Linked DNA regions of Astyanax mexicanus. The protein of the gene in region 3 interacts with the protein of the main gene of each other region in a pairwise test. Links are inferred from orthologs where the notes say so. Each region holds a gene or a part of one and is shown on either strand. Other genes may lie near its edges.

Region 1 (6,932 bases), on a different chromosome or scaffold from region 3:
AGCATCTTGAAGGAAGGAGTTCCTGGAGGTGCTGAACAATAGTTGCTGCTTCTTTTCCTTCACGCTGTGAAGCTCCAGCTCATCCCAATTAAATCACCTCAAATCACCATCTCAGTTCATCAGAGAAACACTTTTTTACTGTTTACTACGTAATTCCATATGTGTCCCTTAACCGTTTTTATGTCTTTAATATTAATTTACAATGTGTAAAATAAATTCAATAAATAAAGAAAAAAGAAAAACATTGAATGAGAAAGTGTGTCCAAAGGTTTTACTGGTACTAAATATATATATATATATATATATATATATATATATATATATATATATATATATATATATATATATTAGGCCGTGAGTGAACAGTTATTTTTTGAAGTTGATGTTTTGAAGCAAAAATATGGATAAGCCTAAACATCTGAGACACTTTAACAAGAAACAAACTTTGATGTTCTAGACAATGACTGGATCAGAATCTCCAGAACATCAGGCAGGTCTTGTGGGGTGTTTCCCTGCAGTAATATGAAGTGGTCAGTAACTTCCGACAACAGGACTGTGGCTGGACAAAACGGTACCACTTTAAAATAAGACTACCTTTATAAAGGGTTTATAAATGGTTTACAATTAGTTTATAAATGGTTACTAATTAGGTTGTAAATGCCTTAAAAATCATTAATAATCAGTTGTAACACATACGTATGGTAGAAAGGGCACCAATGACCTGTTGTTTCCCAAATAGTGACTATATAACACAGCCATCTATATTGATGCCCTTTCTACGTATGTGTTATAACTGATTATTAATGATTTTTAAGGCATTTACAACCTATTTAATAAGCATTAATAAACTAATTGTAAACCATTTATAAATGCTTTATAAAGGTAATCTTTATTTAAAGTGGTACCGACAAAACTTACTCATGCTCATGGAGACCCACCTCACACCTTACAGGACTAAAGGTGATGTTAGTCTTGGTGCAGATACAACAGAACACCTTCAGGGGTCTTATGAACTCTAGGCCTCGATGGGTCAGTGCTGTTCTGGTAGCACAAGGTTGGCCTATACAGTATTAGGCAGGTGGTTGTATTGTTATGGCTAATTGCATCAGATATAAAGGGCACTAGTGCAGCGTGCCAATTCTTACATCATATTGTGTAGCTCAGTGGATGATTATTTAATGGTGCTTGTTTATACCAGTTGCCACCATGTGCCATGGCTACAGAGACTGGGAATTGTCTACTGGGAATAAGGGATTTATGTGGCATCAGCATTTAGTCCCAGCTGCTCCAACCAGCTCTACATGCAAGGCATAAATAAGCTCAAATAAACATGAAGTGAGTAAGAGTGTATAACTGTAATTAACTCAATATAACATTAGAATAAACACAAATAAACATAAATTCAGTGGTCAGTGAGAGTGTCTACATGAAATTAACTCAATATACAGCTCTGGGAAAAAATATGAGACCACTTAAAATTTATGAGTTTCTTTCATTTCACCAAACTGAAAACGTCTGGAATATAATCAAGAGAAAGATGGATGATCACATCAGGATCGCATTTTTGCATCAGGAGTGGCATAAATTTATCCAAAAGCAGTGTGTAAGACTGGTGAAGGAGAACATGCCAAAATGCATGAACACTGTGATTAAAAACCAGGGTTATTCCACCAAATATTAATTTCTAAACTTGTGTATATTAACTTGTTTTCTTTGCATTGTTTGAGGTCTGAAAGCTCTGCATCTTTTTTGTTATTTAAGCCGTTTTTTCTGCAAAAAAATTGTCTGCAGTTGTTCAATGTTCGTTTTACGCAAACATATACCTATAAATAGCAAAATCAGAGAAAATGATTCAGAAACTAACGTGGTCTCTTAATTTTTTAAGAGCTGTATAGTTGTGTTTGAAATTTGCGAAGTTTTAAAGACTTTAGAAGTTTCTAATTTTTTGCATAAATACAACTTAAAACATTACCAGATGTTTTTTCTCATTTGTTTAGCTGGGTTCTCTTTATCCACTTTTATGACTTGTATAAAAAAATCTGATTATGTTTTAGATCATATTTATGCAGAAATATAAACAATTCTAAGAGGTTCACAAACTTTTAAGCACCACTATCATTAAAATAAACCCAAAGAAACATAAAAACAGTGGTGGAATAAACACAACCCCCTCTGGATGGAGTGTTTCACACCATACCCACTCTGAATGGTGTTGTGTACACATTAACTATTTCATTATGCAAGAATTTTAAAAAGTCAAATGCAAATGCAAATATTACTGAGATATGAACTTTGACCACTTATTTTCAATATGCAGTCTTACTGCATTCTTATTACAGAGTAATTACACAAGGTAAACACTAGCCACATAGGGTTATTCTTGTATTATCATGGTGAGAGATATTTAAAGGACTTATGCTCTATATTTATAGAACTGTCCATGTGAACAGGTAAGTGGCTCCGAAATCATTACATCCAATGCAGAAGACCCTGCCCACATATCCCACGTAGCTCCCATTAGATGGGACATAGCAAAAGTCATGGTACAAGATATTAGTTTCTGTCCCATGATATTTGGCATGTCTGTGTTATTATTATTAGAGCATCCTTCAAGAGCTCAGTCTCAAGTCAACATATTAAGAAGACTAGTGTGCTCCGAAGGCTTTAAATATGCAGACGATGTATTCCTGGTGTCAGTGTGCGTATAACAGCACAGTCAGTACCCACAGATATAGTCACATGACGCGGTGAGATGCTTCCTCTCCGGGCCTGAGGCTGAGAACAGGAGCTGTAGTATATTTAGATCTGCTCTGAAGTTGATTTAACCACTGAGTTCAGCCTTGAAGATTTATAATCTGGTTCAGATCAGATAACGAGCTGTGTATAAGTAGTACGCAGTTACGGTAACGTCTGCTGACGTGTGTATCAGCTGGTGTCTCTGTAATATATATTAAATTACACTCTGATAAACCCTTAACCCAGTCCTCACTGCTGCACCTCCTGTATGATTACTTCTTTTGCACTTCTATCACCCTTACTCTGTGTGATGACAAGGAGCCATGTTTGTTTACTTCCTGTGCAGCCACGGACCGCTGATATAGGTTACAGCCACAGTAATAATATGTGTAATATTATTTATTTATTATTTTATAGAATAAGTAATAGCATACACAAAAAATGACCAACACAACACAAAATATTGCATCTCCTCTTAACTTATATCCACCACCATCCAGAGAAGAGGAGTTGCGTCTGTGGTTGAAAGAGCTTAATTTGAAGCATCCATCCAAACAACCACACACATCTGTGCTTACCATTATAAGGAGGAAAAGAGAAATGGCTTGGGTTTTGAAGCTCCGGGATACTGAAAGAATTTAAATTATGTACAGTATGTGTATAAAAGAGCTCTAGAAGTACAATGACATGCAACCAGTCATGGGACAGCAGTATATACGCAGCATAGGATCATGTTTCTTCAGGGGATGGCTTGGGAATGCCCACACCTGTATAAGTTGTCAGGAGTTATCTTGTGATAATAAGTGAGGTTGACTAAAGAGTGGACAGTGTACTCAAGACCAGTTTAATTATGGGAGGTGGAGTAAGGTCTGATAGTGGGTGCAGATGGATGGGTCCTTCCATTTGTGAAGTTGTGTGGGTATTTAACATTCCTCAATCTGCTAGGAATAGTTCATAGAAGGCTCCCGCATGGTGTTTTCTTTGCTTTCTCTTTTTTTCTCTTTTCTTTACTTTAAATGTAAGCAGATATACGCTGTTTTGTTCAAGAAGAGCACTAATATTGGAGGGTGGGGGTTGTGTGGTAGACATGCAACAGTTTAATTTTTTAATTTATTTATTTAAATATTTATTTTTTTGTTATTATCAGTAATATTGCGCGAACTTATTTGGTTTGTTCTGGATGTAGATATTTGGTCGATTCTGGCTTTCCGTGAGCAGTGAAGCTGTGATGAGATAAATAAGGGAGGTTATAAATAAAGCCCAGCTAAGGCCAGCTCAGCTCAGTTCAGCCCAGCCTGACTGAGAGACACAGGGACAGAATGGCGTCTACTAGCCGGTGAGTACAAAGCACAGGAGCGATTTATCACTTATTTAACTCGTTTTTGCTGTTTTTATAGATGATTAAACATTAATATGGTATGTATGAACACGTTGTCCACACCCCTGCGTGCGTGTCAGTGAGTTTTATGCAGAATCCGGGCTAAAATACGGGTTTCATTAATGGGTTCTGAGTGAATCGGACACGTTGTGAATGCAGTTCGTTAACACTAGCTGTTCGGGTTAGCCTGCGTTAACTCTGAATTTTACATAAAACAAACTATTTAACTCTATAGTATTTGTTTTAACGATTGCGAAAAGATGAGAACCCTTATAACAGCTAAATGACAGTGGAGATTGGGGTTAAGGGCACATATATAACATTTTTTTCATCTTAAAAGCTCCAGTTAGCATGAAAATGCGAACGCAGCTAGCTTAGCTAACGCGGCTAACAGAAGCTATTGTATTCTGTAGTGTTGGCTAGCTAGCCTGTTAGCATGGTAGTATCCAGCTAAGCTAGCTAGCTAACTAAACCGGCGATGTTTTAACTCTTTAAATTAACGTTGTATCTAGCTAAAGTATTTAGTAAAAAAAGTTACCACCATGTATAAGGGAGCAGATACCCTTTGAGTGATAATTTGACCATTATTATAACATTAGCTAGCTTTGTGTTGGTGTTGAAATGGCTAGCTTAGCTTAGCACACCTATCTATATAGATAACAACAGAGGAAACGACACTCAGGGTTTTATTAAGCTTCAGGTTAAACTAAGGATAAATAATCAACAGCTATTATTTAACGTTACTGACCTCGTGTACTGCGGCTGATTTAACATTTTATAGACAATAGTTAAGATCAGATATAAATACAGCTAGTTTAGTTAGCTAAACACTAAGAGAGATCCTAGCTCAGATAGACTGGAAAGTGCCATGTCACAGAGAGGGGCTTTAAAGCTCCTGTTTCTGATTATCATTACTTATCATCCTAATAATTAATAATTCAGGAATAATTAGTCATGGTTTTCATTTTTAGAAACGTCACTTTGGGAAGCAAGATAAGAAAACAGATAGAAAGCAACAGACACAAGAGGAAAATGAGCACAAAATTGTAACTGTCACGGGTGATGGAAGGGCAGAAATGGGTTCTGTTGAAAAAGAATAGCAGCCTATTTATTGATGGAGAAAAAAACAACAAATCATAAACTATTTAATTTAAATTAGTATGAATTGAAATTTAAACTAATTTATTTTAACCTCCTCAGACCCAAACTCTTGCATGGCATGCATTTTTTTATTTCTCTTTTTCCCTGTTCAAGCTTATTGGCACTTGAATAGTGTAAAAACAAAGAATTATCTTTTCCCATGATGTAGGTTCTGAGAAAAAGATGCCCACATATAAGGACTTTAGTTTTATATTTTGATACAACGCAATGAACTCGCAATTAGTAATGATGTGCAAAACCTATATTTGTGTCTGAACACAGCAGCATGTTTTGCCTGATTGCAAAACAAAAGTAGAAACAACAATTGTGCCCCTTTGAGCAATTTGGATTATTTGAAGGTTTTCTCTAGGTGACAGTATAATGGCCTCATAAGAGGACACAAGGCCCTTGTAGAGCAAAATTTATTGTAGTTGTCTAGACAACCCAAAATGTCATGTCCACACATGTGAATGCTAGGTCCTAATAGGATAAATATGATCTTTATTTAATTTTTGCTGAATATCATCCAATTTAACGTTTTTTTCACACTAGTGAAGTTTACACTTATTTTCTTTTTAGACACTGACATAAATGTGTTTTACAGTGTATTGATGATGATGATTATTATGATAATAATAATAATGTCAAACATGACAATATATTGATGTAATGTACTTTTATAACTTTTTTTAAAGAATCTCCCACTGCTGATTTATTTTATCCAAGGGTCAAAATATTGTGATTAATACTGTGTGTTAGGGTTGAACAGTATTTGCAATATATATTGTGTTAATAAAAAAATCATTAAGTTTCACCATATATTGCTGCACAATAGCAATGCTAAAACGACATATGCAGCCAGCCCTAATGTGTATCATTCATTAATTTTTAAATTGTGATTAAACGTTTTTACTGCAAAAATGCAGTGCTTTCAGACTCCCTAAATAATGCCACAAATTTAAAAATGTTTTGTGGGTTCAGAAATTAATATTTGGTGAAATATTGCCCACATGCCTCTCATGTGTCTTGTCATGCCCTCCACTAGTCTTTCACACTGCTTTTGGATGACCGTATGCTGCTCCTGATGCAAAAACTCAAGCAGTATAGCTTTGTTTGGTGGCTTGTGATAAAAAAAAGCTCAAATTAACAATATTTATAATTAAAAATTTTGAACTTTTGTCAGTAGTTTATAAAATGAAGTGAAATGCAGAGCGTACTTATACTAGCTTATAAAGTTGCATATTCAATCCACGGTCTGTTAAAACAAACCAGCCCAAAATTAGTTCTGAGTAAGGAAAAGTATAAAAACACCCTAGAAGAACCATTTAGTTGCATCAAAATATATTAGGTCTAACTTCTGCAATCTTTTTTTTTTTTATTGTAGTGCAGATGCTCTCCCCAGGGTGCAATGCCCCAATCACCCCGAGGCTATACTGGTGGAGGACTACAGAGCAGGGGATATGATCTGTCCAGAATGTGGCCTGGTAGTAGGTATGTACTCTAGACTCTAGACATTTTTATATTAAAGATTCAAACGGTCAGAAAATGAAACTTACAAACATTTCACTGTTTTCACTGTGTTCTGTCTGTTCTGTGTGTACCAGGTGATCGCGTTATTGATGTGGGTTCCGAGTGGAGGACGTTCACAAATGAAAAAGCCACTAAAGACCCGTCCCGT
Region 2 (7,578 bases), on a different chromosome or scaffold from region 3:
CGCCACAATACACTTTTTTGCATGGTTGGGCACATGCTTGTAAACACATGTGTCGAAAGCTGTGCACCTCAGTCCAGCACAGTTTTGCGCAGATATTTCCAGAATCCCAGAAAAACCTTTTAAAAAGCCATTTAAATCCTGATTAAAGGGCCAATTACTGTTGGTTTGCTGTTTTTCTCGGGGTTTGAGTGCTCGACGCTGACTCATCTTTTGAGACAGGGCGCGGGTGGGGGGGTGATGGGCCCTGCATTGTTTAATATCACCATATACAGTATACTGTTAAAAAAATAACATTTGCAATGTAATTTTTTTCTAATATTGTGCAGCCCTACTGTGTGTTTCAGCAGTGAATGCAACTTTCAATCAATGCAGCATTTATTAGAAGGGATGTCCACAAACATTTGGACATACTTTATGGTATGACATTCACTAGAATGAATAAAAGCAATTAATCTAAAATGATTAGTTTAGTTTTTAGATTCATTACAGGCTCAAAAATTGTAACTGTTTAAAATAGAAATTGTAATAAAATACACTGACATACCAAAAGTAATTTACAGAAATTTGTATCCCATGACTTTTGGCATGTCTTTTGGAAGCTAAAAATACTGCACTGACTCTCTGCATTAAATGTTTATGTGACTTAGCCTCCGCCTTTAACCCATACATTCAGTGAAAACACACATTTTTGTGAGAACACGTGCCCAGAACAGTGGGCAGCTGGTGCTTTCGGCACTCAGGGAGCAGTGAGGGTTAAAGGCGTGTATTGAACCCACAACCCAGTGCTCTAACCACTGAGCCACCACTGCCCTAACTGTCTGTTCATATGGACAATTTTACTCAGAATCCTGTACACTGTGGGTGGTAATGCCTTCTATGAGGTATTTCCAGTTTACAAATGACTGCACAATATCTGCACAATCTAAGAAATGGAATGTCCTGTCTTCCACCTGGCACCCACTATCAGACCTCACTCCAACTCTGATCATAAACATTGCCTTGCTATGAGCATGCTGACCACTGTTCAACCACACTTACCTCAAGATAGCACCTCACAACTTACACAAGTAAGGGCTATCCCACTCCTCCTAAGATTTTATGATTAATTTGCATTCTTCTACACCATCTTTTGGCATGTTATTAAAAATGAAGTACATTAGACCATGATAAAGCATTTTCTGTTTGATGGAATGTAATACAATCTTTTTCACAGCATCCACACATACATATGACACAAACACATACACTGGAGAAAGTCTAGATCTATCCCACAGCTCAATCTTAAAGGATCATTCCTCACGTTAAATTAGCCATGGCTGGAATTCCTCACTGACCTTTGCATACATGAATTAAAATGCTACGTGACCATCGCATATACCCAACACGCCTTGCCAATACTAAAACAACCACCCTACAGCTTTTCCTTTAAGAACAAATCACAGAAAACACATTTTCAGGGACTTTTCACACGATCTGAGTTTGAGATAAACAAACCGTTTGGCAGCTCTAAAACGCAAGCAGCTCAAAGTGTGAGAAACTGAAGTCTAAAAGAAACACTGCAGATTACTACTGAGGTCAGCAGAAACATTTCATAATAGCTTCATACTTCATCACTGATGCCTCAATAATGATCATGGAACATTCTCTGAAATGGAATGCTTGTTTTGGAGCAAGTTCAAAGGCCGATGTTGATCTGTGTTACTATCAAATGATAACATCTATTGTACAGAATAATAACTTTCAAATAGGATAAAGCATTCTGATTCTATAGAGATGTATTACTGTCAATCAAAATAACAATACAAACTTCACATCCTTACTATATACACTTCATGTTTATGACATGAAATATTATTATAAATTAATTCTAAGAATGTATCATATTATGAGATATTTTTGTATAATTATGTCAAAGGACATTTTTTAAATTACCTTACCTTATTATAAAATAAAAAAAGACATTACACAATCCTGACAGAACATCCTGAAATTAAGATTAAGTATCTCTTTATGAGCTACTTTTTTATATTAAAATAAAATGACATGTTTTATTTATGTCAAAGAACATTTTTGAAATGCCAAAAAGTAACTTATTATAAAATAAAAAATGACATGCCATAATCATGACATAGAATATCTCAAAATTACAAAAATGTATCTCATTATGAGCTTCGTCTTTGAAAACAAAAGGACATATTTGAAATTCTGAGGACATATCCCATTATGGGGTATTATATCATAAGAATTATTATGAAGAATTATGCATTTTTTTTTTATTATGTGGAAATATTGCAATTATGAGATAATATGAAATGATAACAACAAATGATGTGCCATAATTTAGAAATAAGCAATCTGCAATTATGGGATAAATATCTCCTTATAACATATCATATTTTTTTATAGCTATATATAATTATGGCAGGCTAAATTTGAAAATGTTGTTTTACTGTAATAATATAAAATGTATAGTGTCACAATTACGGAGTGATATTTTTATGATGTCTTATAATATCCCACTGATAATATATTGCAAAATTGTTGTTTTAATATTTGAAGGGACACAATCGCCACAGCATATCTCTTAAAAATAATAAATAAATAAATAAATAAATGCAATAAACAGCTTCGTAATGTGAATATGGACAGCCTAAATCTCTAATCCAAAAATACTTTTAATATCAAAGTACTTTGACAGCTTATACCCCTTTTAAGAAGATAAAGTAAAGTAACGTTTTTTAAGATTTTTTTTTTTTTTCAAAAACATTAAAAAACAAACAAGGACATCCAAGATCATTTAATCATACAACCAAAAAGTTTTACGAGCTAAACAAAACATTTATATTTATATTCTTTATATGTCATTCATCAGCAAATCTAACTCCCTCATGTTCTTAGTTAGGCAGTTAAGAGAATCAATAAACAAATCAAATTCAACAAGAAATAGATTTAAAAGGGTTTACCTTTTTGTGTAATGTAGCTACTTGATAACTTTACAGAATTAAAATTAGTATAACGTACTAAAGCGTTACGCGCATGCGCAGTATGGACAGGCTGTCTGCAGAAATGTTATTTATAAATAAAATGAGCTAGAAAACAGAAAAGGATAAATATTGAGGGCCTAGAAAGATAAATGGGTGAATAAAATAAACACATCAGCAGCTCCGACAGTAACTGTATAAAATAAAACCGTGTATTATAATAGACTGGCTGCCCGCTCTGCTATTGGCTGCTGCGGGAGCAGCGCTGTGTGTGAGCGGGTGAAGGGTGAAGGGTGAGGCCAGAGTTGCCAGGTTCGCAGGTTTCCCGCCAAATTGGGCTTTTTTGAAAATCCAGTCGCGAGTAAAAATCTTCCTTGGATTACAACAATAAAAACCAGGAGAATATAACTATGGGAACTAACCCATTGCAAAGACTTATAATTAAAAACATTACTATTGCATTTAGATTTTATTTTTGACATTTATTATGCAGTTCATCACGAAAAGGCAAGGCCAAAATAAAGCTTAATTTTTTCTTTTCACAATTACCTTTTTTATTTTAGGTTTATTTTTTTATTTTGTGAAATACTCGTATGCTAATAAAATAAATGGCAAAAAGCCTTTTCAATTTAATTTTTTATTTTTGTCACTTATGACCCATGCTCAAGAGAAAAAATTAAATTACAAATGAATTGATTAAATTTTGTTTTTAATTTTGTTATAATATTTTCACACATGTTTGGAAAAAGAAAGTGCAAAACTGTATTTGCATTTTCATTTTAGTCTTTTCATTTAAGTTTTATTTTTGGCAGGATTTACCTCCCATGCATAATGACAAATAAATCAATGTAACTAAATATACAATGTAATCAGAAATCACAAGGCGATGAAAAAAATGTTAAAGAGGAGAAAAGAGAGCTCAGGAGGGACAAGAACAGAAATGAGTAAGTAAAAGTTTTTTTTTTTTGCTAATTATGTAACAATTAAATGTTCTTGACTGGGATATAAAACGGTTAAAAAAAATAACTAATAAAACACTAATTCCTTATAAACAAAATACTAAGTCGTCCACTCCATGCTAGGGGTGGGCGATATGGCTCTAAAATAATATCACGATATTTCAGAGTATTTTTGCGATAACGATATACCTGGCGATAGAGGAAAACTAAAATAATTAATTAATTTCAGGAATATAGTATAACAGTATAACAGAATAATCATAATGTGGCAAAAATAAATAATGTAGCATAAAATAATATAATGCAGCAAATAATATTGCAGAATATTTAGTGCATGCATATAAACTAGAAACTAAAACAATTACACAATAAATACACTTAAAGCTTCACAGTAAATAATAGGCTACTTTTAAAACAGAACAGCCCTATTACCACGATATGGATTTTTAATATCACGATATTTCTGTGTCACGATATATTGTATACGATATAATATTGCCAACCCCTACTACATGCTTAAAACGTGTGACAAACCTATATTTTGGATTAGTTTAATCTTCTGAAGGGCAGCTTTTAAGACTGACTTTGGGCTGGATGGTTTGGTTGGACCTGGCAACCCTGCGGTGAGGCGGGGGTTTTTGGATGATAAGCGGGATTCAGCGGCTCAGAGCGGCGAGTTTCTTTCACCTCAGTCCGAGAAGAGCTACCGGTTATTTACTTAAATAACCCGCTGCTGTTATTATTATATATATATTAGTGTACTGAGCGGGTATGGCCGTTAACTGATAGTTTGCGGGCGTTTTATCGAGTTAGCTTAGCCTAACTGGGCTGTTTTCTATCACACTGCAGTCACAGGTGGTTAGCTGAGCTAGCGTCAGTTAGTCGGTAGTTTTGGCGGACTGATAGTCTGTTCTGCTCTTTATTGAGCGGGACTGTATTATTGTATATGTTTAGCAGAGTTTGGAAGTGTCTCCACTCTTCCTCAGGCAGAGTTTTGGTCTATTAAAGCTGTTTAAGTTTAGTTAATTTATTAAATCACTCGTTAGCCTAGCTTACTCACTGGACTAGCTGTGTGTGAGTGAGTGAGCATGGCTGAGAGACCGGAGGACCTAAACCTTCCCAATGCTGTGATCACCCGCATTATCAAAGAGGCTGTGAGTAAACTTACCTAAACTACATACCTACCTTCCTACACACTGCTGTGCTTAGATTAAACATTTTTATCTAGTTAACCTCTAAGTCTAATTTCTGATATAAGTAAGGGTTTATTTGCAGTTTAACTCTATATATGCTAATTTAACTGATGCTACTGCCACCTGTTAGGTTGCCCACTGTTACTTGCTTACTGACAGACTCTTAACCTTAACTTTAATATTAATATACCATGTAAAAATGAATAAACTAGATAAACAAAAACAATTGAATGAGATGGTGTATCCAACCTTTTGACTGGTACTGTACATTTACCTCTATGTATATGTAAATGTAAATATGCCTGTAGCCATAGGAGCATATAGGGCTGGGCGATATGGGGGGAAAAAAACATCGTCATGATATAGTTTTCCTTATCAGTCAAAATCACGATATAAATCAAATCACTTTCTGTCACACTTAAAGGTTTCCTTTTACTCGTAAGTAATTTTAGTTAAAAAAATATTTAGTCAGTAATTAACAAATGAACATTAGAACGTTATACAACTATATAAATAAAAATAAAACACTCAAATCCTGTAAATTCAAAGATCAGATGTTACAGAATAACAAAGTGGGTGTTTCAATTCTCTGTTAAATATTCACAGAACAAGTTATATCAAAATTTTATCATCTGTGGCTTACATTTCTATCAATCGTTTTATCGCACAGCACTAGGAGCATACCATAATATCCATTTTGGTTTCCAGCATTTTATTTAATAAACCAAACTGTTTTTGTACTAATGTAAAATATGACCGTTTACATGAAAAATTTCCCTCACATTTACATGAATTTTATTCTCATTATTTAATAACACAGCAGTGTATGTATTGTAAATATACACTTTGGCTGTGAGTCTCATCAGCTTCAGTTGCGGTAGACCAGAACAACTGTGTGAAATGTAATTTTCCTTTTGTGTTGCTTTTGTAAGTTGCCAGATGGTGTAAACGTGTCCAAAGAAGCAAGAAGGGCAATATCTCAAGCAGCCAGTGTGTTTGTTCTCTATGCAACATCATGGTATGTCTGAAGACCACAGAACAGAACTTTTATCTCGCCAAATACAACAGTAAGTGTGTGACTAATCAATTTTTAAAAATATATTTTATTTCCAGTGCCAATAGTTTCGCTATGAAAGCCAAAAGGAAGACGCTCAATGCCGGAGATGTGATGTCGGCTATGGAGGAGATGGAATTTGAACGTTTCTTGCCACCCCTGCGAGACGCTCTTGAAGGTAACTGATTAGGACTCTCACAATACATTTTTGTTTGCTGTGGCACTTTGTAAAGCCTGTCAGACGTTGTGCTGCATATTGTTAAACAATATAAAAAAAAAAAAACATAAACAGCAGTTAACCCTGAGTAGTTCATCTTTACCTTTTTTATTGATCCGTTGGCCATTAGACAACTAGCTTTAAAAAGTGCTGTTTGTTCTTATGCAAAAAAGATGCAAGTAAACACAGTGGGTAATACTGAGGTCAGCAAAAGTGACCTCCATATATTAAATGATACCTTGATAACACAATTTTCACAAAAGGCCTGTAACTGATGAGACATTTCATATGTTTTTTTAGTTGGGGTCTCACATAGTTGTATACAGTGTATAGATATGGTGTTGAAAAAGAACCCTGACATGTAGTTGCAGGATTTAAATATTTGCTCTTAGAATTTTAAAAGCAGCCATTGATAAATTGTGTGTCATGAACAAACAGTCTGTAGTGACAGTCTTCTCCAGTCATCTGATAAGTGAATTATATTTATATGTATTTTTTGTTGTTGTTTAATCTTACTAAAACTGCTAATTCTGACTTTTTTAGCACATTTATTTTTAAGGGTGTACTATTACTAGTTCTAGGCTTATTTTTGCCTGTTTTGTTTATCAGCCTACAAGAAAGGACAGAAAGGCAAAAAAGAGGCATCAGAACAGAAGAAGAAAGACAAGGAGAAGAAAAACGGTACAGAAGAGCACGACAAAAGCAGAGAGGAAGAGGAGGAGGAAGAAGAGCACATGGAGGAGGAGGATGGAGAGAACGAAGGCGAGGAGGAGGATGTGGAAAATTAAGGGGTACAGCAATTTAGCAACAAGCCTAAACAGACTAAGGAGCCTGATAGTAATGTCCACGTTCTAGATGAAATTGGAGAGGAAGAAGAAACAGCTGTCAGCACTTGCTTGGTCTAATTAAAAAAGAAAGGTGTATCTGTACAAATCTGAAGGTAACAAAAGGAGTTCACTATTCTAACATGGCACTGATGTATTGTGCTATATTCCCTTCCCTACATTCTTTGACTGGTTCTAATAATAGAGTCTGTGTTGCAGAGATACTGGCTCTACTTGTAGTTGAACAAGAGTACATTCACTGTGTATATTAACTGTAGTGCCACAAATATGTGCAGTGGGGAAAGAAAATTAGGGAGTATAGATTGACCAAGCTCTGCTAACTTGCCTAA
Region 3 (7,733 bases):
GCCATGCACAAAGAAACGAAAACAGAGCAGAATGCAACTTATTTTTATTTTATCTGGCATGTTTACACACTTACTCTAATACGTATAAAACAAACTAAATAGTTAAAATAAACCAGTTAATTTTCCAAAAGTAAATTTTTCGCAGCCCTTTAGTGTAAACATAACTAGCGTCGGTGACTTTTTTTTGTGTACAGTAACTGTGTACAGTACAGTTTACTGTACAGAACAAAATCAGTTCCGTCATCTGTAAACAGCAGGTTAGTGATACAAAAAGCAAAATGCACGCTGCTGTTCCTTACAATATCAGCATAAACAAAATTACAGGTTTGTTTTAGCACAGTAGCAATCAAAGATTAGTGAGAAGAGTTGGTAAGTTAAGTACAGCCTTTTAAAACAAAATTGCGCTATAAACGCAGCACAGGGTACAAACCCGAGAAAACAAAAAACAGCTGAGGAGCTATTTAAAAGTAAAACAGAATACAGTTGATTTTCACTATACTTAAAGGCATCTTCAGTCTTTTATTTCCATACGCAAATGCATCTTGCTCCCCTCTGTATTCACTCTATGAATACTGAATCTATGGATAGGTAACCACAGTCCAAGCATGGTTGGTTTTCACCCATCCAGACCGAAGTGGACATTTATCTCCCCATTAAAGGAACAGTCTGGTGTTTTCTAACCAAACCTCTGGCATTACATCTGTTCAATACAGCTTTGCTTCAGCAGGTGCCAACAGGCTGCTATGGTAAGTCTTTAAACTGCTGCCTGTGGCATCTGGCTATACATTACATACAATATTGTAAACAGAGGTCATGTTAAAAGCCACTGCACTATTCCATTAAAGAGTAAGGCAAACTAACTCAATGCACCTTATGTAACCTCCAGGTTGGTGACTTTATTGATGATGTGTGAGCGCCTGGGCACGCACTCTAAATCAAACTTGCTCTCGTAGATGGTTGGGCACAGCTTCCACTTGTTATTTCGGTATATTCCCAGGTAAGTGTAGACGTCTGGCTTGTAAGAGAGTGAGCACTTGACCCCAGCAGCCCTTATGGCCGCGTCCAGCTGCATGACCTGCTCCTCGTCTGCAAAGTTGTTGTTGTAGGCGCAAATGACATGCTTGGCTTCAGAGTTCGCATCTCGTGGGCTCACTTTGGCTGAGGAGATTTTCCCATCTAGCACGGCTTTGGCTATGCATTCCCAGGCACGGTCCACCTTGAAGCCGGTGTCCATGTGTATGAGCCATTTGCCTGTGAGCACATTGTGGTTCAATGCCAGCTCCTTTATGGTCTGGAAAGTGACTTGGCGCCCACTGGCCAGGAGCTTTTCCCAGCTTTCTTGAAGACCAGTCACGTCCGGGTACTCCGGACCATGATCTGGACCCAACACTGAGATCCAGCCCACAGGGCCCAAACCACCTTCTTCGTCTCCAAAACGGCTCACCTGGGAGGGCCTGTTAGACTCCAGCCAGCTGTAGAATTCGGCTCTAGGCGTTTTGCGGGCATCAAATATGATCCACGGGTCCATGTCTGCGGCCAAGGCCTCGGCAGCGTAGTCTTCTGCCGAAAGAGGCTCGGCATGTTCCTCCTCTTCCTCCATCCTTCTTCTGGACCTCGGGGTTGAGTGTTGGTACACGGGTAGCGTACGTCCTATATGCTAGTGTAAGGCACTCTTTTTCTGTTAGAGAGACCAAAAAAAAAAGTTATGAGTTAACCTGTATGATTATAAGGCAGTTTCACAGTTCTAGCTTCTCTATAAAAGTTGTCAGCAGAGGGAAGGATGAAGTGCTTTAAAATTTTCCGGAAAAAAAAAAAACGCTGCACTGACTTTGGAATTGATATAACAGAGTAGACCAACACCAGCAGACATGACTCTCCAACCCATCACTGACCATCAGTAAATTTTAAAACGCTTAAAATAGATCACTCGGTGTGTAATAAGTCTATATAATATGAGTTTCACATTTTGAACTGAATTGCTGAAATAAAGTATCTTTTTAATGAAAATATTCTATGTGAACCAGGTGACTCTCTCATGAAAACACAGAGAAAATACCAGTGTTCAAATATGTAATCAAAGGTAAATGTGCCACTTCCACTTCATAATCTAAAGTGTAAAACATATTTTGGTTTGCTTACCAAATAATCCTGCATTTGTTCCTGTATAGCTTTAATGTATTTGATATTAAATTTACTACGTAAAAATAAATTATAAAAAGAAAGAAAACACATAGAATGAGAAGCGGTGTGTCCAAACTTTTGATAGGTACTGTCAAAGTGATTTATTTTACACATAAATCGGTAATAGATTAATTTAAGCAAATAATAAATCTGCGGAGCCAGTTGGGAGTTGAAAGAGCCGGCCCTTTTTTAGTGAGCCGAGCCAAAAGAACCGACTCAGAAAAATGCCACATGTGACATGTGACAATCACTACTGCGCATGCGCTGAAAATTTTTTGTGCCTTTTTTACGTTTTCATGTGTTTTTCGAGATAAATCTGCTCATACAGTGTGTTTTACAGTCTAGACTTACTGTTATTGGTTGTTTGAGTCTCACACGAGTTTTAATGGCTATTCAAATACATAAATACACCGTATATACCCTTATAATTGCTATACTGTGTACTATACAGGCTAGTTAGCCTATATCCACATATCTTCTACCTAACCTACCAAACTTCACTTACATTAAATCATGTTTTCAACCAATCTGAATAAACTACTAGTCAATCAGATTTACCTATGAATACACATTATACACTGGGAGCACGTTTTGACAGGGTAGCAACATTGGACCCAACACCAGCAGTTATATTTGCAGATCTGCAGACCCACACACAGCTTAATGAACACTGCACAGACAGGTTACAAACTCATTCCTTCACCCCACAGCTCTACAGAAGACTCTCCCCACACACAGCTCACTCTTTAGCCTCCTCACTGACTTTAATCAGCAAACTTTACCCCAAACACAGCACAGCAGCAGCTGCAACTAGCCCCGACCACCAGAGAGGAGAAATAAAGCAGAAAACTCACAGAATTCCTCACTATTGCGCATTATACAGCGCTCACACTGCAATACAGCCCGCACACGCTCACCTGCGGCATCAAACACGCCTTTAAAACCACTAAAACAGCCGCTAAACCCACAGCTAGCCGAGCTAATGCGTTGTTTTTGAATTGTCTGGCTCTGTCCCAATTTGTGCGCCCGTGCTGTCTCCCCTCGCACACTAGAAAGGCCACGTCTACTTCGAACACTCTTTAGCTAACCTAGCTAGTGTGCTCGTTTCCCTACTTCCCCCACAGGTCGCTTAACAACTGGAAAATATCTAAACGACGGCGTTTTAGGGCCACTCTTTAAAAAAACAGTTCGTTCGAGAATAAAGTCGCAATATTACGAGGCTAAAGCCTTAACATTACAAGATTAAAGCTGTAAAGAAAATATCCAAATGTTCGCAGTAAATCAAGAGGAAATCTTCTCAATGTAAGAGATTTAAAAAAAATTAACAAATAGATAAAAAGTAAATAATAATGATATAGAAAATAATAAAATTAAATTAAGACCAATAACAAATGAATTAATAAAAACATAGAAATTATAAAGAGTTAAAACAGTCACATGCGTTCTGAAGGTAATTTGAAACTAAGAAGAGTTTCAAATTTCAAATGTGAAGAGGAGGTTGGATATAATACTATTAGGTAATAATAATAATAATAATAATAATAATAATAATAATAATAATAATAATAATAATAATAATAATAATAATAATTAGTATAGTATTAGTATAAAATCTATTTACTCATTCGTCTTCTTTTCCCTGATGGTCAGGGTTGTGGTGGGTCCAGAAACTACCCAATTCACCTTTTAACTTTACCTACATGTGCAGAAACCATTGAAATACTAAGTCATGTTCATGTACGATCTTGTTGTTTTAAGATATTATGTCATTATTTTATTATATTATATATTAAGTTGTTATTTTGAGATACATCATTATTTTGAGATACTAAGTCGTTTATATGAATGCTTTTGTTGATTTAGGATCTCACAATAACGACTTAGTACCTCATAATCATAAGATTGCAATTTACTTAATAATAAGTTTTTTTTTAAGTGGAGGAAATTAGATTTCACAAAAAAATGACAATCCTTTGAAAAAATCATTTTTTCTTTCTTTTTTTTGCTATGCTATTGCTATTTGTAATTCTATTTCAGTAGTTCAATAATAACCTGTTCCCGGGTCATTATTTAAAAATACTTGCTAATATTTGGCATAACGGCAGTCCTTTAACTTAAATAATAATGATAAATTTGAAATATATGATGTGGAAATATAAAGACAAACTGTTTTTTTAGAGATTAAGATTGAGATAGGGCCTACTGAATCAAGATTTGCATCCTGCTGCCAGAAACTGAGAAGGCCAGAAAGGGCATTTACCTGACAGGAATGTATTTCCATATTTAAACACCGAATAAAAACAGGTTTAAGTTTAAAGTTAAGGCGAAATTTCACTATTATTTTTATTTTATTTTGTTTTATAGCATGCTGAGTTTGTTATGGGCTTGATTTGAACACACTTGTAAATTGGAGCGCAGCCGGAGATCAAGCTGCGACCCTGCGAGACCCGGCTGGACTGAAGGAGGAGGAGGTGGAGACGGAGCCGCCGCTGCTGCTGAACCAAAAACACTGAGTTTATCATTAAAACCGAGCCTAAACCCGGCCTGGAGCCGATCCGGCAGCGGGACAAAGGAGTACAGACACAGAGCACACGGGCTAAAGCGGGAGGAGTCCTGTAAAACACAGCATGCCGAGCAAAAAGAAGAAATATAACGCCAGATTCCCCCCGGTGAGATTACTCCCATTCACCTGATAATGCTAATGCTAAGCTCAATGATTCTCTATGTACATGCTAACGTTAGCTTAGCACAGTTTAGCCTAGCCTAACTTAGCGGAGCTCCTGTTATCTTAACGCCCACTCTGAATGAGAGGAGTAAAACCTGTGGCTGGGTTTAACTCTGTTACCTGGTCTAGACTCGAGTCTAAGTTTAATTCTGAGTTTAAAACAATACCCAGTGTAATACCGAGAGCTGGAGAAGCCCATAGACTCAATGTAGAGCGGTTCAGCGGGTCCGGCTAATCCTACTGTACAGCTGCTCGCTGGAGAACTGAGAGTTCGGTTAGCTTAGCTTAGCTTAGCCTAGCTTAGCCTAGCTAACAGCTGCAGTCCTCAGCATTATTCAGAGGCCGTGTAGCTTTATAATTAAACAATTTACACTTTATTTTATGCAGTATTCTAAAATCTGTGGTTCAAATTGGTCAATACTAATGTAGCCATGATCCTGGATAATCTTTGTGTGTAGCCAGCCAGCTAGCTAACGCTAGTAAAGGTTTTTGCTAAGTAGCTAACATAAGCTAGCTAACATAACTTAGTTCCCTCAGTTTGTGTTGGAAAGTGAAAACTCAGCTAACCAGCTACTGTACAGACAGAACACAGATGTTTTACTTACCTATAAACACAGATACATTTAACTGACACTAACAGATATTTGGCATAAAATTGACAGACATTTGACTTAAAACCAGCAATTGTTTTTTGACATAAAATCAACAGATGTTTATGGTAAAGTTAACAGAGATATTTCGCATAAAACCAACAGGCGTTTAAGGTAACGTTTTATGTAACAAATGATATTTGACATAACATCAACAGATGTTTATAGTAAAATTAACAGAGTTATTCCACAAACTCAACAGATGTTTATGGTAAAATGAACAGAGATATTTGACACAACCAAAAATGTTTAATGAAAAATTAATAGAGAAATTTAAAATAAAATGAGCAGATATTTGATGTTTAGGTGAGAGATATTTGATGTAAAATATAGATAAGTGACACCAATATATATAACATAAAGATATAACAAATATTTGTTATAAAATTATCAGATGTTTACCATAAAATTAATAAAGATATTTGGCATAAAGCGAACAAATATTTAGTGAAAATTCAACAGAGATATTTTACATAAAATAAAAATTATTTAACAAAAAATCAGAAAAGATTTTTGGTATAAAATTTAAAGTGATTTTAAAATGAATACATTTAACATAATATTAACAGCTCTCTGGCTCTGTACATATCAGCAGGCTACTCAGCTGCTCTTATGCTGCTAACCAACTTTAGATATCAACAATATTTACATACCATTTGTATTTGTGGCATTTTTCTGCTCCATTTACTACAGAGGCCTCATTCTTCTCCACAAAGAGTGGTGTACCTTCAGTTTTTTATTCCAGTGAAGCAGAAGCACATGTGATTAGTTGTTTGAAGACTGACCAACTGATTAAACAAGAGGAACCAAGTGTGCTGCTGCTGTTTTTTTTCCATAAAAAAGGAAATCTGCAACCACAGCAGCCCTGTGTAGATAAGATTGTACATCTCTAATTTATTGATGTAATCACATTCTTTTATGAATGCTCTTAATCTAGTAGAAAATCTTTTTTGGACAGTATGCATTTAAGTACAATAGTTGCATGTCTCTCAGAGACTCAGGTGGTAGATTAGTAGTATAAGTATAAGTACTACAATAAAGTAGTATAATAAAGGAGCACGTTTGTGTTCTTTATTTTATTTAAAATACAACAAGATGTGGCTGGTAAAGGTTTTGTGTTTCAAGCACAGGAAAATATCTAAGTCTGATAGAATGTAAAGCACCAATTTGAAGTATTTCCACACTGTAAATGTTTCCACACTAAAAAAAATGACAGAAATGCATAACTAGTATTTAATATTCACTGTTACATTTTAGCTTTCAGTGTTAAGTATGTTTTTGTGTCCTGTAGTGTATTCTGTACAGTATACACTGAACCCAGCTGTACTGTATGTGGCTATTCAGTAACTACTGTTATGTAAATTACATTTTTTGTTCCCAAAATATCTGTCTAGCTTTTTCACGCTCACTATGTGTGTTTGTATTACTTTCAGGCAAGAATTAAGAAGATTATGCAGACAGATGAAGAAATAGGAAAAGTCGCTGCTGCCGTTCCCGTTATTATCTGTATCCTTTGAAAGTTCACATATTTCTGTCTTCTGTTGTACAGCAGTGTTTTAGAAATGTGTCAGTATGAGAGTGTTTGAGGTTCTTATGCAAATTGCCCTTTAAATATTGCTAATTCTTTTACTGCCCTAAATATTTCTGTAGAGTTAGATGTCCAGTGCAAAGATGGACATGCACATTTCTAATCAGATGCTGTCAGCCATAATCATAACCATACACTGAACTATCCACTGTAGGTGGTAATGCCTTCTATGTTGTATTCCTGGTTAATACTTGACTCTGTGGATTAAGGAATTTTAAATGCCCACACACTCACTCACTAGATAACACCTTACAATATGTGGGTGTTCCCAAGCTGTCCCTTGAGGTAACACTTGGATCACATGATCCATGCATTCCACTGCATCGCATAACCTGAGATTAGTTGATTTAATAGGGTTTTTTTAAGTGAATAATCACTTTCAAGATATTTTGTTATTTTGGCGTTGATTAATAACCCTCTCTACTCTGTAGTTGATGTTCTTGGTTTGGTTGGTTCTTTAACCCCTGTTCGAGCGCGGGCACTTGAGCTGTTTCTGGAGTCTCTTCTGACGAAAGCCTGTCATGTTACCCAGTCACGGAACGCCAAAACTATGACAACATCGCATTTGTGAGTAATTTTAACTTACTGA

The links. The genes of interacting proteins can lie anywhere in the genome.
Region 1: the proteins of drap1 (region 3) and gtf2b interact in binary tests that used the Homo sapiens proteins (3 or more experiments, as listed by UniProt). The two-hybrid records come from large-scale screens. The link is inferred for Astyanax mexicanus from reciprocal best matches to the Homo sapiens genes DRAP1 and GTF2B.
Region 2: the proteins of drap1 (region 3) and pole3 interact in binary tests that used the Homo sapiens proteins (3 or more experiments, as listed by UniProt). The two-hybrid records come from large-scale screens. The link is inferred for Astyanax mexicanus from reciprocal best matches to the Homo sapiens genes DRAP1 and POLE3.

The regions. Positions count from the first base shown.
Region 1 is NC_064425.1:40,920,878-40,927,809, forward strand, and holds the start of gtf2b (transcription initiation factor IIB), read left to right. Parts: upstream 1-3,923; 5' UTR 3,924-4,055; coding exon 4,056-4,072; intron 4,073-6,638; coding exon 6,639-6,745; intron 6,746-6,858; coding exon 6,859-6,932. UniProt on the Homo sapiens protein: General transcription factor that plays a role in transcription initiation by RNA polymerase II (Pol II). Involved in the pre-initiation complex (PIC) formation and Pol II recruitment at promoter DNA.
Region 2 is NC_064408.1:17,396,712-17,404,289, forward strand, and holds the start of pole3 (DNA polymerase epsilon subunit 3), read left to right. Parts: upstream 1-4,569; 5' UTR 4,570-5,028; coding exon 5,029-5,094; intron 5,095-6,065; coding exon 6,066-6,151; intron 6,152-6,246; coding exon 6,247-6,365; intron 6,366-7,013; coding exon 7,014-7,192; 3' UTR 7,193-7,578. UniProt on the Homo sapiens protein: Accessory component of the DNA polymerase epsilon complex. Participates in DNA repair and in chromosomal DNA replication.
Region 3 is NC_064432.1:18,622,967-18,630,699, reverse strand, and holds the start of drap1 (dr1-associated corepressor), read left to right. Parts: upstream 1-4,712; 5' UTR 4,713-4,808; coding exon 4,809-4,850; intron 4,851-6,989; coding exon 6,990-7,062; intron 7,063-7,617; coding exon 7,618-7,711; intron 7,712-7,733. Other genes in the region: c25h11orf68 (UPF0696 protein C11orf68 homolog), read right to left, coding at 872-1,600. UniProt on the Homo sapiens protein: The association of the DR1/DRAP1 heterodimer with TBP results in a functional repression of both activated and basal transcription of class II genes.